Caenorhabditis elegans: one gene and its partner. The protein of the gene in region 2 interacts with the protein of the main gene of each other region in a biochemical or structural test. Each region holds a gene or a part of one and is shown on either strand. Other genes may lie near its edges.

Region 1 (7,689 bases), on a different chromosome or scaffold from region 2:
CTCAGTAGGCACGCTCGAACAGGCAGGCGGCAGGCAACGCCTACATTGCCTACTATAAGCAATAAATAATATTATCAACCTTCAAAGCATTTCCTCAGTTTCAGGTTTGCTGTTCGTATCAGTTGCGGGTCAACAGCAAGTACCTGTAATCCAACAGGCTCCGCCAAATTCACCAGCTCAGCAACAACAGCAAGCTCAGGCTCATGCTCCACCGGCTCAGGCCAAGCCGATCGTCCAACAAACCCAACCTGCTCAAAAACAACAAGCTCAAGCTCCACCAGCTGCTCAGCAAATTCCTGTAGTTCAGCAGGCCCCACCTGCTCAACCAGCACAGCAAAAGCCAGTGGCTCAGGCCCCGCCGGCTCAGGCCAAGCCGACTGTTCAGCAAGCTCCAATACTAGTGGCTCAAGCTCCGCCAAATCCGCCTGCTCCCCAAGCTCAACAACATCAAGCTCCAGCTCCACCAGCTGCTAGGCAAATTCCTGTCCAGCAACCTCCCAAACCTGTAGTCCAGCAGGCTCCTGCTCAACAAGCTCCAAAGTCAGTGGCTCAGGCACCGCCGGCTCAGGCCAAGCCGATTGTTCAGCAAGCTCAAGCTCAGCCTGTAGTCCAGAAGGCTCCTACACAACAACCTCCAGTAGTTCAACAAACTCCTCCACCTCAGCAACCTGTGGTTCAGGCTCCAGTGGCTCAACAAGCTCCACCATCACAGCCACAACAGGCTCAAGCTCAGCCTGTAGTTCAGCAGGCCCCGCCTGTTCAACAGGCTTCACCAAAACCAGTGGCTCAACCGGTTCAACAGCAACCAGTGGTTCAAGCTCCACCTAAGCCAATAGTTCAGCAGGCTCCGGTAGTTCAACAAGCTCCACCGCCAAAGCAACAACAGGCCCAAGCTCAGCCAGTACAGCAGCCGCCAAATCCAGCACCGGTTGTACAACAAGCCTCGGCTCCAGTCCAACAAGCTCCGCCAAAACCAGTTCCTCAGCAGACTCCTCCAGTCCAACAAGCTCCACCAAAGCCGGCTGTTCAACAAGCTCCGACCCGAGCTGCTCCGGCTCCGCCAAAACCAGCGCCCCAGCAGGCTCCCCCAGTTCAACAGAATCCTCCTAAGCCGGCTGTTCAACAAGCCCAGGCCCCAGTAGTACAACAAGCCCCTGCTCCACCAGTGCAGCAAGCTCCGCCAAAACCAACACCTCAGCAGGCTCCCCCGGTCCGACAGAATCCTCCTATGCCGGCTGTTCAACAGGCCCCATCCTCACAACAGGCCACACAGGCTCCGCCAAAGCCAGCTCCTCAGCAGGCTCCCCCAGTTCAACAAAATCCTCCAAAACCTACACCTTCTCCAGCACCACCAGCTCAGAAGGCCCAGCCCGTTACCCAACAACAGGCTTCAGCTCCGCCGACTTCACCAAGTGCACCGGTTCAAGCTCCGAATACCCCTACTCAGAAGGCTTCAAGCCAAGATCCGATTGTCCAGCAGGATCCACCACCAAAAGAGCCATCAATTTCTAGTGAACCTACAACCACAAAGAAGCCCAGAAAATCGTTCTCTCCGGGATCAGCCACACCTAAACATACACAACCTTCAGAAAATGGCAAAGCCTCGGGCAAGACTGTTGGCAAGGAAAAGGAGTAAGCTACAGTTTTGGCGCGAAGTTTTGGTGTCAGAGTGTCTCATTTCAGCGTGATCTACGTAGATCTACAAAAAATGCGGGAGAAAAGACGCAGAGTTCTCAACTGATTTCGCATGGTTAAGAACGTGCTGACGTCACATTTTTTCGGGCAAAAAATTGCCGCATTTTTTGTAGATCAAGCCGTAATGGGACAGACTGGCACCACGTGCAAAACGTCAGTTTAAAGGCACTCGCTGTTTTCTGAGAACATATACCAAATTTTGCAATTTAAAATTTGAATTTCCAATAGTTTTATTTTTGTTTGTTTAAATCATGGAAATTTGGCCAAAGCTGCATTTTTTTGTTGATTTTTCAACCTTTTTCCGAAAAAATTTGGTCGGCGCTACTATTTTTTTAACGTTGGCGCGAAATTTAAATTTTCAGATACCTTTTTTTTTTGGGGAAAAATTAAACATTGATTGGCGGGAAATACAAATTTTATGATCAATATTTTGTGCCGGGAAATTCAAATTTTCATTTAAAAAGTTTTAGCGGGGAATTCAAATTTTCAGAGGAATATTTTATGGGGGAAATTCAAATATTCTGAGAATTTGTTCGGCGGAAAATTTAAACTTTCACAAAAATATATAATGGTGGGAAATTAAAATTGTCATTAAAAAAGTTTTAGCGGGAAATTTAAATTTTCTGAAAAATATTTTATAGCGGGTAATTCAAATATGCTGGAATTTTTTTTGGCGAGGAATTGAAATTTTCTGAAAAAAACAATTTTTGGCGGAAAAATCAAATTTTCTCAGAAAAATTTTTGGCGGGAAATTCAAATTTTCCGATAAATATTTTATGGCGGGAAATTCAAAATTTCTGAGAAAAGTTTTAGCAGAAAATTCAAATTTTCTGAAAAACATTTTTTAGCGGGAAATTCAAATTTTTTCATGAAAACGGCTGATTTTTTGGTTTTCCCCCAGCAAGTATCCAAAACAACAAATCCCTCTTAAATTTTTTTCCAGATCCAATTCTCCAGAACTCTCACCAAACGTTATCTTCGCAATTTCTGGAGCATTTTTCGTGTTACTTGGGATATGTCTGTTGAAATGCTGCAAACGAATTTCAACAGAGGATAAATTAAAAATGTTGTGATTTTATTATTTTTTTCAATTGTAGTTTTAACTTGGAGTTTTGTAACGATCTAATTAATGATCTTTTCTTTGTTTTTTTTTCCATTTTTTTATTTTTTTCTAAATCATAAATTTCTCTGATATGTTTTTGAAATGTCTAAAATAAAACCAAATTTTCAATTTCATTTTTAAACGCAAAATTAATATCATAACACTTCGAATTTTCAGAGCGTACCCCCTGTTGCGCTATTTTATAGCCTAAAGCATTGTGCTCAAAGAGCCCCCCCCCCCTCCGCACACTTTTCTTGCTTTTCCTCCTCCTTCCCTTTTTAAGGGGAAGAAAATCGATAGTGTAGTAAAAGCTGAGAGACGCAGAGAAACATGGAAAGTGGCGTACGTCATCGAGGGCTCCGTGGAGCTCCAAATGAGGAGCATGTGCTCATTTTCAGAGGGGAGAAACCTTCTTAACTTTTTTTTGTGTTTGAGGACTCATCACAAAAAAATTTTAATTTCAGACTTTCAATCTAAATGCTCAGAACTTAGTGTTAATCCAAATAAAATTTCTGTTTTAAAAAAATGGAAGAAGACGTAGTGGAGTCGTGTGAAGCAACACCGGTAAGTTTTTTATTTTATTTGTATTATTATTAAATTTTTCAACATTTTGGCGTTTTAACTGAAGTTCGAGAATTTAAAAAAATTTAAATTTTATTTTTGAACTGTTAAAAAAATAATATAGTAAAGTTATAACTATATATATACAACACTATATATACTATATAACTATATATATATATACACCTTTTTCCCAGACAAATTCCACATATGGAACACCTGTTCGTGTAGCATCGCCCCTTATTCATAACGAAGATGACGTCATCCCGACGACTGCCGTGGAAAATTCCTTATACTCGAAATGTAATGCAGTACAGGAACAAGAATTTGAGAGGTTTGTGGGAAGTTTTTTTTGTGGAAAAAAAAATTTAAAATTGCAGATTAGAGTCGCAAAATGCAGAATATCGAGAAAAGCTGCTGAGAACAATTCGAGAACGGGATTTGAATGAGGAACTTTTGAAGTAGGTTTTCCGAAAAATGTCGAAAATAAAAATTCGTAAGCATGAATTTTGATGTAAAATTTTCAGTTTTCAAATTTTGCAGTGCGGAAACTGTAGATAACTTTTTCGCAGCTCAATTAAAAAATAACTTTCAAAAATTGTTCGAATTATATTTTTTTAAGGTTGTGTCTAAAACATGTTTCTAGGCCTAAGGCTTAGCTTAAGCCTAAGCCTAAGCCGAAGCCTAAGCCTAAGCCTACGCCTTAGCGTAAACCTAATCCTAAGCCTAAGCCTACGCCTAAGCAGAAGTCTAAGTCCAAGACTAAGCCTAGGCCTAAGAATAAGCCTAAGCCTAAGCCTCAGCGTGAGCTGAAGCCTAAACCTAAGCCTTAGCCTGAGCATAGGCAAAAGCCTAAGCCTAAGCCTAAGCCTAAGACTAAGCCTAAGCCTAAACCTAAGCCTAAACTTTAGCCCATTTTTGTTTGCAGAAATGTTCAAAATCAGCACAAAAAAGAGTTGGATGCTCAAGTGCGAAGAATTCGAGAATTAGAAGTTCAACTCAAAACCACAACGGACAGAGGACTGGCTCAGGAAGCACATTTTAATGTGACAACTAAAGAAATGTCACAGAAATTTAATTTGGCTCTTCAGCAGGTATTTTTTTTGTTTTTTTGATGTACAATTTTTCAGCAATTTTCATTTAAATATGGGCCACAATTTCAGGCCACAAAAAAAGCCGAACAATGTGATAAGGAAAAGAACGAAGCGGTTGTAAAATATGCAATGAGAGAAGGAGAAATGATGAAGTTAAGGGACGAAATTTCCAAGAAAGATAGTAATATGAAAGTGATCAAAGAGGAATTGGAAGCTGCAAGGAAAGCACAGAGTCAGGAAAATTTGGATGATTTGGAGAAAACCGTGCAGAACTTGAAAGTCGAGATTGAAAAGTTGAAGCATGAACGTTTTGATTTTGAAAATCGAATGAAGATTGCCGAGAAACGAGTTGAGGTGGGACTACGACTTTCAAACAAAATAGGCAAAAAGAGCTTTTTGACTGGAAATTTAAAATTTTCCAAAATTTTTTAAATCCGTTTTTTAATGGTATTTAATAATTTTAGCATCATATGAATCAGGGGAATTTCAAAATTTGCCCAGCTCGGCAAATTTGGCAAATTTGCCACACATCCCTGATATGAATGGTTTTTAATCATTTCCCCACTAGACGTACCCCACGCCTACCTCCCGCCTACATTGCCGCCTGAGCTTACTCTTCTTTCTATTCTGAGCTTAACCTTCAATGTGTAAATACCATACCAAACACCCGATTTTACGCCAGAATGCAGAAAATAGGCGCTAGGTAGGCAGGCGAGAACGCATGATGATTGACCGACAATTCTACAAAATCATGTGGTGCAAGGCTGTCCCATTGCTGTTTGATCTACAAAAAATGCGGCAATTTTTTGCCCGAAAAAGTGTGACGTCAGCACGTTCATAGCCATGCGAAATCAGTTGAGAACCCCCTCTTCTCCCGCATTTTTTGTAGATCTACATAGATCACACCGAAATGAGGCACTGCCGAAAAGTTGAAAAAAATTCTGACGATTTCTGAGAATGCGTATTACACAACTTATTTGACGAGCATAATATCTCGTAGCGAAAACTACAGTAATTCTTTAAATAAGGCTACTATTGCGCTTGGGTCGATTTCCGGATACAATTTATTATTCGATACAATATTTTTGTTGAAAACACAAAAATCGAGCCCGTAAATCGACACAGTCGCTACAGTAGTCATTTAAAGAATTACTGTAGTTTTCGCTACGAGATACTATGCTCGTCAAATATGTTGTGTAATACGCATTCTCAGAAATTAGTGTTCCTGTAATATTTTACATTAATTTTTAAAAAATGATTTTCAGAGTTTATCATCCAACCTATCAGAGTCCAAACAACAGGGAGATATGCTCAGAAAGCAACTGATTCAGGCAAAGGATGATAAACATATTATTCAGGTACAATATTCATGGATTTCTGGCTTCCCTCATAAATTGAAATGGAAGAGTTTGCCGAATTAGGCCATTTTGTCTCGGCCATATCTGGGGTAGATTTACGGCGCGTTGCGTGTCGCGTCGCGGCTCGAATGTAAAACTAAATGTATACGCGTTGTCCGGCGGGCAATTGTCAATGGAGCGCAAAAAATTCAATGAGGAAGGCCAGAACCCCGTGATTTTCACAAACATATAGCTCTTGAGCTCTTGATTACTTTGCTCTTTTCAGCAATACGAAGTAAAGCTTCAAACAAGTACTGCTGAACTTGAACGTCGACTCCGAGAATCTGAGCATGACGTAGAACGACTCCGAACTTCTCAACTGGAAATGGCAACTAAATTTGAAGAGGCTTCAAGAGAAAATACGGATCTTCTTTCCAAAATTGACATTCTTCAAGACCAACTGAGTTTAGAAGAGGATCGGCGGAAGCTTTGTGAAGAGCAAATCGATCGATTGAAAGGAGTTGAAAGTTTTGTGGAGAGTAGTAGCCATCGAATTGAAGAAACCGAAAAAGAACGAGAGACTGCAGAAGAAGATCGAGAACAAGCGGAACTTGAAGCTGCAGAGTATAGGGAGCAAGTGGAGAAAATGTTGAAATTGACACAGGAGTTGACGGAGAGGAATATGGAGTTGCAGAGGAAGTTGAAAGATGAAGAAGGGAAGGTGAGTTTTTGTAGCAGAAGGAGATTTCCAAAAATGTATATATTACGCGGCAATTCAAAATTTAAAAAAATTTTGCTACTTGTGTATTACAAAAAAAATTTTGTTAGAATTTTGGACTATGGGCTTAGGCTTAGGCTGAGGCACAGGCTTCGGCTTAGTTTTGAGCTTAGGCTCAGGCTGAGGCTTAGGTTAAGGCTTAGGCTTTGACTTAAGCTCAGGCTTGGCGTCAGTGGGGGAGCGTTAGCTCCCCCACTGACGCTATTTAGGGTTAGGATTACAGCGTTTTTTTCATTTTTCAAAGAGTTCCCGTTGGCCGATCAAAGCGAAATTGAACACAGAGACGTATAGGCCACTAAGAAGCTTCCGTGTAAAATTTCAAATTGATTCCATCAAAACTCGCCGAGTTATGGAGCTTAAGGTGTTTTCAAAATGACCCTCAACTATTTTTTAAAATTTGAAAGTTTGGCGTTTTGTCAGTTTTCTCCCTAAGCTCACGAAAATTTAATGACAGGAGGATCGTAGCGAAATAAATTTTCTTGTGAATTTTCAGCCGATTTCGATTTACAGGAGCCGAGATATTAAGCTTGCAAATTAGAAAAAAGTTCGAGTCCGGGTGCGGGCGTCTAAATTTTTTTATGCCCTGTTTTTCGTTCACTCTGAAAACGCGCGTGTAACTTGACGGTGGGTGGATGGATTTTGATGCGGTTTTTTGCTCTCTCTTCAAGAAGCTTGCCCCACCTCTGTATGCTTCATTTCAGAAAGATTGGAGCTCTTTGAGCCGAGATATGAAGAGTATTTTCGAGTATCCTCCAAAAATCACGTTTTTTTCTCATTTTTCGCCTCTTTTTTTTGCAGGAAAATTCGAGTTTTTGCGATTTTTACGAGATTTTTTAGCAGTTTATAGTACTCGACGAGATGCGTCGAAAAACATACAAATCATCCAGATCCATCAGCTATGAGCTCTTTTAGAGAGCTCCAAAGTCAAATTCGCAATTTTGACCTCCCCCCTCCCACTTCGGTGTGTTTTTTTCGTGTTTTTTCGCAAACCACCGCTTCGTGCGCTGTTGTCTTTGAGAAATCTTTGGTTCCAAGGTGAAATTGTTGTATAAAAAGATCGTAGGTACATTTTAAAGTAAAAATTATTCCGAAAAAGTGATTTTTTCATTTTGAAAATCGAGG
Region 2 (8,352 bases):
AGAGCGAAAGGGATTGAGAATCTCCAGTTGAGAAAAGATTTCAAAAATCCCAGGATTATTCCATTCTTTTTGTTCTCCAGATCTTTTGAGGCTGCTCTGAGCAATGGATTAGTAGCTCCCCACACAAATCCAACAACGATTATTGATAGAATACATTGGACACCGCATTCCGACATTCAGGAAGCTTAGTGTTTTGTTATTAGGGAAGTTCGAAGCTCAACTTGTGTTAAAAAATAAAAATATTTCTAAGAGTTAATCCACATATGATATCGAAGAAAAGGGTTTAAATTCAAATTTTATTCATATTTATAAATCTTTATTGTATGTATTGTGTATGCCTGTATACAAATCACTCGTTGTCGTTCCTAAATCTTGAAAAATTATGGATTTAATTATGGGTCTCCATGATCTCCTTCGTCTCCCAATCCGGATTTTGATACCTAAATTTTATACATAATTGCAGGGAAATAGAATAAATTTGAATATACCTGTAATGTGCAATTCTACAGAGCTGGGCGAGCCCGGTGCACATGACGAAAAAGTTCACACTACTCAAATAGTAGTTGATTGGGGTGATGACAAGGCAATATCTCGTCCAGATGGCTCCAGTGGCGAAGAGAGCAGAGTTCTGAAAAATTTAGATTTTAATGCATATTATATTGCTTTTTTCGGTAGTTTTCGAGAAGAAAACACTAGAATTTAGATTAGTTAGAAATTTATCTCATTTTCATGTATCCACCTCTACGAGTTTCAAGGAGGACGCGTTTATGCGGAATGGTCTCGCCACGCGCGCCTTTGAGGTTACTGTAGAGATTATCTTCATTTTGAAAAGAAAAACAAACGAGAAGAAAACAACGAGAAAAACCTCTAAAAATATGTAATCAATACATCTACAGTAACCTTAAAGGCACACACACACACCAAATTATCACTCCAGTTTTCGCTGCGGGACCAGAAAACAAATTTCACAAATCCCTACCTGATAAAGAGAAAGCTTATCAGCAGGTCTGGCCAAATCAGCGAGTCCAGCGCCGATAAGAGTCCATTTGATGGTTGGGGCCCAGAAAAATACAGTTTTCGGACCGGCCGCATGATTCCAAGCCGGCTTGGCGAATGCTGGAAGCACCGGATAGACAAATTTATCTCCGGCTTTGCACAGAGCCTGGTAGAGGAGACGATGTGGGCCCATTGAGGTGTATTTGTGGGGCTGAAAATGAAGAAATTAAATTTGATTTCGAAATCTGCGAAGAGAAGAAAAAAGAAGAAATGAGAAAATTGTTAAGAAGAAAAAATATCAAAGAGATCAGAAGTTAACCAATGTTCAGAGAACATAATAGAGTCATCGATGTCTGATTTTTTTTGGTAAAAAATTTTTATTTTTGGTAAGAATATTTTTAAAAAATGCTAGTTTTTCAATTATAGCGACAGGTTCGCACATTTTTTTCGAAAAAAGCGAAAAATATTTTTTTGCAAAAAAAAACCAAAGGTGCGCCTTTAAAGAGTACTGTAAATTCAGATTTTCGTTGTTGAGAAATTTTCATAGATTTTTCTAATTTTTTTCGATTAAAAAACTAAAATATAACAATAAAAGCACATGAAAAAAAGAACATTCCTCAACAACAAAAGTTTGAAATTACAGTACCCTTTAAAGGCGCGCACCTTTTCACATTAAACAAAAATTGTCGTGTCGAGACCTGGTACAGTACTTCTGGCACGAAAATCGAAAAATTTCGCATCTTCTAAGAAACCATATTTGTAAAGTTTCCAAAAAAAAAATCTTGCCACTAATTTCTTCTAAATTTTCGTCTCTCCCCATATTCTTATCAATTCAATCTTTTATCAATCAATCTGTAGAAAATAATCAAAAAGAACTTCAACTTTAAGAAAAATATATTCCATCCTCGACGAAACGCTCATAAAATTCATTTATTTCACTGAAAATTTTGATAGCTTGGAGACGTATAGTAATTAAATGGAAAGAATTAGAAAAGGAAAAAAGAAGTAGAGCTTACATACAAACTTTTAAGAGGAAATGAGGGAGAGAGAGCGGGATTTTCACAACATGTTGTTCTGATGGATTGAGTGGAAAATCACAGGAATTTCAGATATTCACACAATTGGTGAGAGACTGAATGAAAAGGAGAGAAAATAGAGAAAGAGAGGAGAAAGAGAAAAAGCAGGCGACAATATACAGTAAATGATGGTAGTAATAAGAGACAATTGCAATATATATGTAAAGTAAAATTATGGTTCTGGAAGAGAGAAAGGAGACTAGAAAAGTGCCTAACGACATTCGAAAAGAGGAGGAAACATAAAAAAGATTGGTATTCAAACGATTTAGTTAAAACATTCAAAGCTCATTCAAAGAAACATCATCAAAAATTAACAGCATCCAGATCCACCGCCCAATCCTCCCGTCGCATTTCCACCTGGAGAATTTGGTGAGCTTGGAGAGTGCTGTGGTCCCAACTTGATTCCGTTTGCCTCATTGTTAATGTCGAACACGCCTTCTTGAATCTTACGGTAGATCTCTTTGGCAGTGTCGATGAACGCCTCTTCCACGTTGGCAGCCGTCTTGGCAGATGTCTCCATGAATACGAGTCCGTGCTCTCGTGCGAATGCTTCTCCCTCTTCACGTTTCACTTCGCGACGGGCTTCCAGGTCACTGAAAACATTTATTTTATTTTTTTGAATAAAAATGTGTTTATTTGGAAAACCAAATTTCTATAAATTGTTCGATTTTGTAGAGAAATTTTTGAACAATCGATCCTTGAATTTTGCAAAAGGCAACTTGACACTTCACACAGAAAGAGATGCGGAGCGTGAATTCGCAACCCAGTGGCACTGTTTTTTCTCCTTTTTTTCACAGCTTTTAATCAAAAAGGTTTCGATTTTACTATTTTTTTAGTTTTGTTCTTTTTTTTCGAATGAGAATGCAGTGGAAAACCGGCGAAAATTTTTATTTTCAAAATTCAAGGATCGATCGTTGAATTTCAACAGTAGTTAACCTATTTTTCGATATATTAAAAACCAATAATCTATATTTTAAAAAAATGTTACCTCTTATTTCCAATCAACATAATAACCATATTGGAATTACTGTGCTGCCTGGCATCCTCAAGCCAAGATGTCAAATGATTGAATGTGTCGCGTCGTGTAATGTCGTAGACGAGAAGAGCTCCGGCGGCTCCACGATAATAGGAACGAGTGATGGAGCGGAATGATTCTTGTCCGGCTGTGTCCCAAATTTGAAGTTTGATCTGCTTTCCGTCAATTGTCACCATACGGGCTCCGAATTCGACGCCTGGAAAATAATTATTTTGAAAAAAAAACTTGAATAAAATTTAAAAATCGCACCAATCGTCAAATCATGAACTGGCTGGAAACGTTTGTCGGTAAACTGAAGGAGCAAGCAGGATTTTCCTACTCCAGTATCCCCGATGATAATGTACTTGAAAAGGTAGGCATATGACATTCTTCTGGAAGTTGATTAATTGATTAATCGATTATTGATTGATCGGAAAATGCTCAAAAAAGTGAAAAAAGAGAGAGAAAGGTGGTAGAAGTAATAGAAGAAGAGAACACACACACACTGAAAAAACATAAACTTTGGAAAATTGATGACGTGGTGTGGACGAGGCAGACCAATCAATACTTCCTCATGACTGAGGAGCGTAGTGAAGGAAGTTACGAAATGAGGTCGAATCATATGATGAAGATGGATAAGAAATAGGGAAAAGTTCGGCCAGCATGTTAGAAAACATTTTTGAAGCAAATAAAATTGGCGAAAATAGCAGAAAAGAGCAAAATTTTTGAGCAAAAAAAGTTAGTTAAAGTCAATATAACCTCTTCCAAACATATATATTCCAAGGAACCCATGCCTTTTTTTCACATTTTTTCACTCTCTCTCTCTTGCCACCGCCACCACCAACACAGCCAAAAAATCGAAGAGAGTGAGCGCGTGGTGAGTGTCTCGTGAGCGTGGTTGTGAGCGGAGGGTTATCTCTGCGTCTATAACAAGAGAGATGAAGAGAGATAGAGAGAACCAGAGAAAGAGAGGGAAAATGGGAGCAAAGAGATGTGTGACTATTTATTTCGGATGACGTGCTTCTTCGTTTTGCACACATACACACACAGAAGCATATCCTGAAAACGAATGGATCGAGTCGTTTTTTTTCGAGAAAAGAATAACACAAGTGATGAACGGCGGGTCTGGGTTTTATTTGGGAGCAGACTTTTTTTGCTGCCAAAAAATGTAAATTATTTTAATGAAACTACTGTACTTACTATTGTGGTTATTTCAAGGTGGAGTAGAGCCACAATTTTTTAGTTTAAATGACCGAATATAACTGCTTGAAAATTTAAAAAAAAATGTTAATGTTTTTTTTTTTCAATTTTGCCAAAATAAAATAAATGAGCAATAGGCTTCTTGGAGATATCTTTTTTTGCAAATTCAATTTTTTTTCGGATTTTCTTTTTCATGTTCCTTTAAAGGCACATTACATTAATTTCCATGGGTCTCGCCCAGATATGGACAAAAATTTTTTTCAGATTCTAAGACACATAGATCAGAAAAAAAAGAAATAAAGTAGTCTGCTGGCAGGAAACACGAATAAGAAGGTGCAATTGGAATTCATTTCAGAAGATGTGCGCTCGTGAGATCTCATATGTTTCTTCTTCTTTTTCTTCTTCTTCTTCCATGTCAAATGTCGGGGGCGCGGCTCTCTAGAATCGGGAATAAGAGAAAGCTGAGCGAAAAAGAGAGGGACTCCTTTTCCCTTTCGTGCTGTTTAATTGGGTCGAGCCCCTCGTAGCCATGCACAAAACCACACACACACATATATATATAGCCAAACAGAATTGGCAAAAGAGAGTGTGCGACAGATGAAAATTTCAAAAATTGATTTCCGGTCATGGGCTTTTGGAGAAATTATTTCAATTAGAAAAAAAAAATCTAAAGTACGATCACTTCATTGCAACTGCCTATGAAACAGAAGTGAATTACGAAGTTTATAATGAAACTGACGCCTCTCAACTAATGGCTTTTCTGTTATCTACATCGGGCAAACGAAAGTGTATGCGTTATCCTTTCGCCCTTTAATTGATCGCATAACTAACGATGTTCAAATTATTGTAGTCTCAATTGAGAGGGAAGTTCCAATTCACTGGAATGATCGAATAAATTTGTGGAAATTCATTTCAGAAGAGCTAGTAGACCTAGCATACATCGTAATAATTTAGGACCTACTATTATATCAATAATTTTTTTTTTAACTTTAAAAGTAAAAATCGGTAAAAAGTTTTAAAAACTTCAAATTATATGCTTAAAATCTAGGCCACTGGAATTAAAATAGCAGATTCTACAAAAGTCGTAATTTTACTCGAATTTTACTCAAATTTTCTTAACAAGAGAAGTGAATGTGAAAAAAAAGCTGGTGCATGGCCATATTAATAAACTTAGCCCAAAAGATTCAACTCTGCAATAGAGAGCTTCTCTTCCTTATTGGACTATCATCATACCCGTATAGCGGAGGCGCAGACATTGTGCTTATGTGAAGTCACGAGAATCACGGGTAGAGAAGACGACGACGACGACGACGCTGAATTCACGTGAATAGGGGGTTAGTGAGATTGAAACGAGAGAGAGAGACGTAGAAGACGTCAACTAGAGAGAGAGAGAGAAGATAGAAGCTGAAAGAGAGGCTTTGTTAGACGATGTTGGAGAAGACTGAATGGCTATAGAGTTCTACTCGAGTCACCAATTACGTGGAGCTGGAGAAGAAAAAAAAGAGAGAAAACAGAAAAGAAGAAAGACATCTTCAACGAAAACACACTCGGATCCTTCATTTAGCCGGACCTCGGGGCAAACAGATTTTGCATAATGAGCAAGGCGAAAGCTTGACGAATTTTTCGGTTAAGAAGAAGAAGAAGACGAAGAGGAAAGAATGCGGGAATATAGTCTCTTCAGGTGTACGAATAATCCTCCACTTCTGCTCTCTGAGAGCAACAATTGCGAATGAGCAGCACTATTGACGACACAACGTTGAGAAGAGACGGAGAGCATTTTTGCACTTTGACGAATACTAATTTGGAAAAAATGATATCACTCTTTTTCAATGTTGGGAAATTTTACATCAAGGGTGTCGGTTTTTGAATTTCCACTAAAAATCAAAAAAATTTTTTTAAATTTTGGCTATTTTTATTATTTTTTGAAAAGAAAATTAAAAATTGTTTTCGTAAATATATTTTTTCATCAACATCAAAAACAAAAATTGGTGAATTAAAAAACTTATTTCTAAGAAAAGTTTAGTTTTTCGATTTTAGCAAAAAATTGAAAACCTGACACCCTCGATTTTCAATACAGGTGGTTACTCCTTCGAGGAATCTTACGATATTTGATGAAAAGTAGGGTTTCCAGTCTCGAAACGATCGATCTCGCAGCTACCGTACTTTCAAAAATCACAAAATACTAACATTTGACTAGGAGCTCCTAGGGATGCAAGATAAATTGATGAAATCAAAAAAGAGAAACATCACTGTAAACGTTTTCAAAATCACAAGGAAAAGCAATTAGAAATTTCTAGAGCATCAAAAACTATGATAAGGATCTTTTGATAACAATAGTGACCCCCGCAAATGGGGGAAATTCAACGAAATTCGTTGAAATTTAAAGAGCAAGAGGTAAATACTTGGGTATAACTTGGGCCACATATTAAAATGTTAATTTTTTTAGTTAAATAAAATTTTCCAAGCCAAAAAAAAAAAAAAAATGAAGAAATAAAACAATTAATTATATTTAAAATTTAATTTTAAAATGTAGAGTTAAAATACACAAGTAAATATTTTCCAAACAAGAAAATATAAAATATATCAGTGTAATTTTAAAAAACACTTGAAAAAAAAAACCAAAATATAATCAATATTTTTTAAAAACAAGTTCATTCACAAACTCAACCAAACACACAACAAAACAGACAATAACAAAAAAAATAAATAGTGTGATGGTGGTGATCATGAAGAAAACAGGTGAAAGTGTATAGGTTTAAAGAATTAGAGTTTCAATTTAAAGAAAAAATGAATATATAAATAAAAAGTAAGAATCTAGGCCTTCGACGAGTTGTTCGTTTTCAGATTGTGGTCATCCTTCAGCTTGTTCAGCTTATCACGAGTAGCATCTGTAAAATAAAAATTGACATTTAATAATTTGATTAAAAACTCTAAAATTAGTACCGTGTTGAGTGGAGAGATCCATCAGCTTCTGCAGCTGCTTCTTCATAATAAGCTCAGTTTTCTCCAGCGGGGTCTCGGTTTTCGTCTTCAAAACTGTCGATTGCATTGTGTTAAGTGACTTGGTGATTTGATCGAGATCGAAGTCCGCACATTTCATTTGGGAATCCACGTTGAGCATCATTTGAGCGCTGGAATTTTTTTTTGAAATTATTATTTTGATTTTTAAGGGGAGTAAGGTCCAGGGCTGTCGCTTTTTGCTTTTTTTCTTTCGTCTTCAAGACTGTCGATTGCATTGTGTTAAGTATTTTCGGAACAAAAAACAAAAAAAATGCTTTCAAAAAGTTTTAGTTATTATGATTTTAAAAAAAACCTGTGGATTTTTTTGCTTAAATATTCAAAAACTCTCAACAAGAAAAAAATCTGATAGTTTTATGGCAGGATTTTGCGAAATTTTGTCAACTTTTTCTTTGTCGCAGCGGCTGAAATATAGTTTTTATCGAATTATCCCGATTTATTGCATATTTTGATTATTTATCTGGCGTTAATTCGTTAATTTAGTCATATTTTAAGTCGATAGCTATTCAAAAATTACGAAAATTGGATGCAAATCGAGCCAAATCAACGGAACAGCGTGAGATAATCAACCAAAGCATGCCAAATAGGGCAATATATGAAAAAAAATCAATTTCCATCGGCTTTTACAAAGAAAAAGTTGGGAAAACTGAAGTTTTTAGCTAAATTTAATATATTTCTTAAAAATTTAATCCATTAAAAATCAATAACTTTGACGTACATTTGCACTCTCTGAACATCATGTCTCGACGCAAATCTGCTATCAAGTGGGAATTTGTAATCAAGAGTATGCCATTCTGGAAGGCTCAGCTTGTTCTCTAGCTCAACAACATTTTGCTCAATATCGTTCAAGACAGAAGTCATGGAGGCGACGTTGAAATGCAGTTTCTTGCAGCTTCCACTCAAATCATCCATCTCATTGTACAATCCTAAAACTTTTGGCTCGAGTGTAATGAGCTCACGGTCATAAGCATTAAGCTCGAGCATTTTATTATGGAATACTCGTTCCTGCTTCGCAATTTCCGAATGATAACTATTGACAACTTCTTG

Evidence for each region. The genes of interacting proteins can lie anywhere in the genome.
Region 1: the proteins of unc-108 (region 2) and cccp-1 form a complex in vitro, tested with the Caenorhabditis elegans proteins (one study listed by BioGRID).

What each region holds. Positions count from the first base shown.
Region 1 is NC_003281.10:12,469,618-12,477,306, forward strand, and holds the start of cccp-1 (CARD domain-containing protein), read left to right. Parts: upstream 1-3,258; 5' UTR 3,259-3,322; coding exon 3,323-3,361; intron 3,362-3,555; coding exon 3,556-3,692; intron 3,693-3,738; coding exon 3,739-3,819; intron 3,820-4,004; exon of another isoform or gene 4,005-4,058; intron 4,059-4,286; coding exon 4,287-4,452; intron 4,453-4,521; coding exon 4,522-4,806; intron 4,807-5,717; coding exon 5,718-5,810; intron 5,811-6,075; coding exon 6,076-6,510; intron 6,511-7,689. Other genes in the region: Y49E10.29 (Prion-like-(Q/N-rich)-domain-bearing protein), read left to right, coding at 105-1,632, 2,639-2,768.
Region 2 is NC_003279.8:3,820,074-3,828,425, reverse strand, and holds unc-108 (Ras-related protein Rab-2), read right to left. Parts: upstream 5,544-8,352; coding exon 5,521-5,543; intron 3,480-5,520; coding exon 3,358-3,479; intron 3,305-3,357; coding exon 3,061-3,304; intron 2,666-3,060; coding exon 2,383-2,665; downstream 1-2,382. Other genes in the region: F53F10.8 (Transmembrane protein 234 homolog), read right to left, coding at 1-176; mpc-2 (putative mitochondrial pyruvate carrier 2), read right to left, coding at 389-440, 489-628, 980-1,189; npp-11 (Nsp1_C domain-containing protein), read right to left, coding at 7,102-7,175, 7,231-7,418, 8,024-8,352.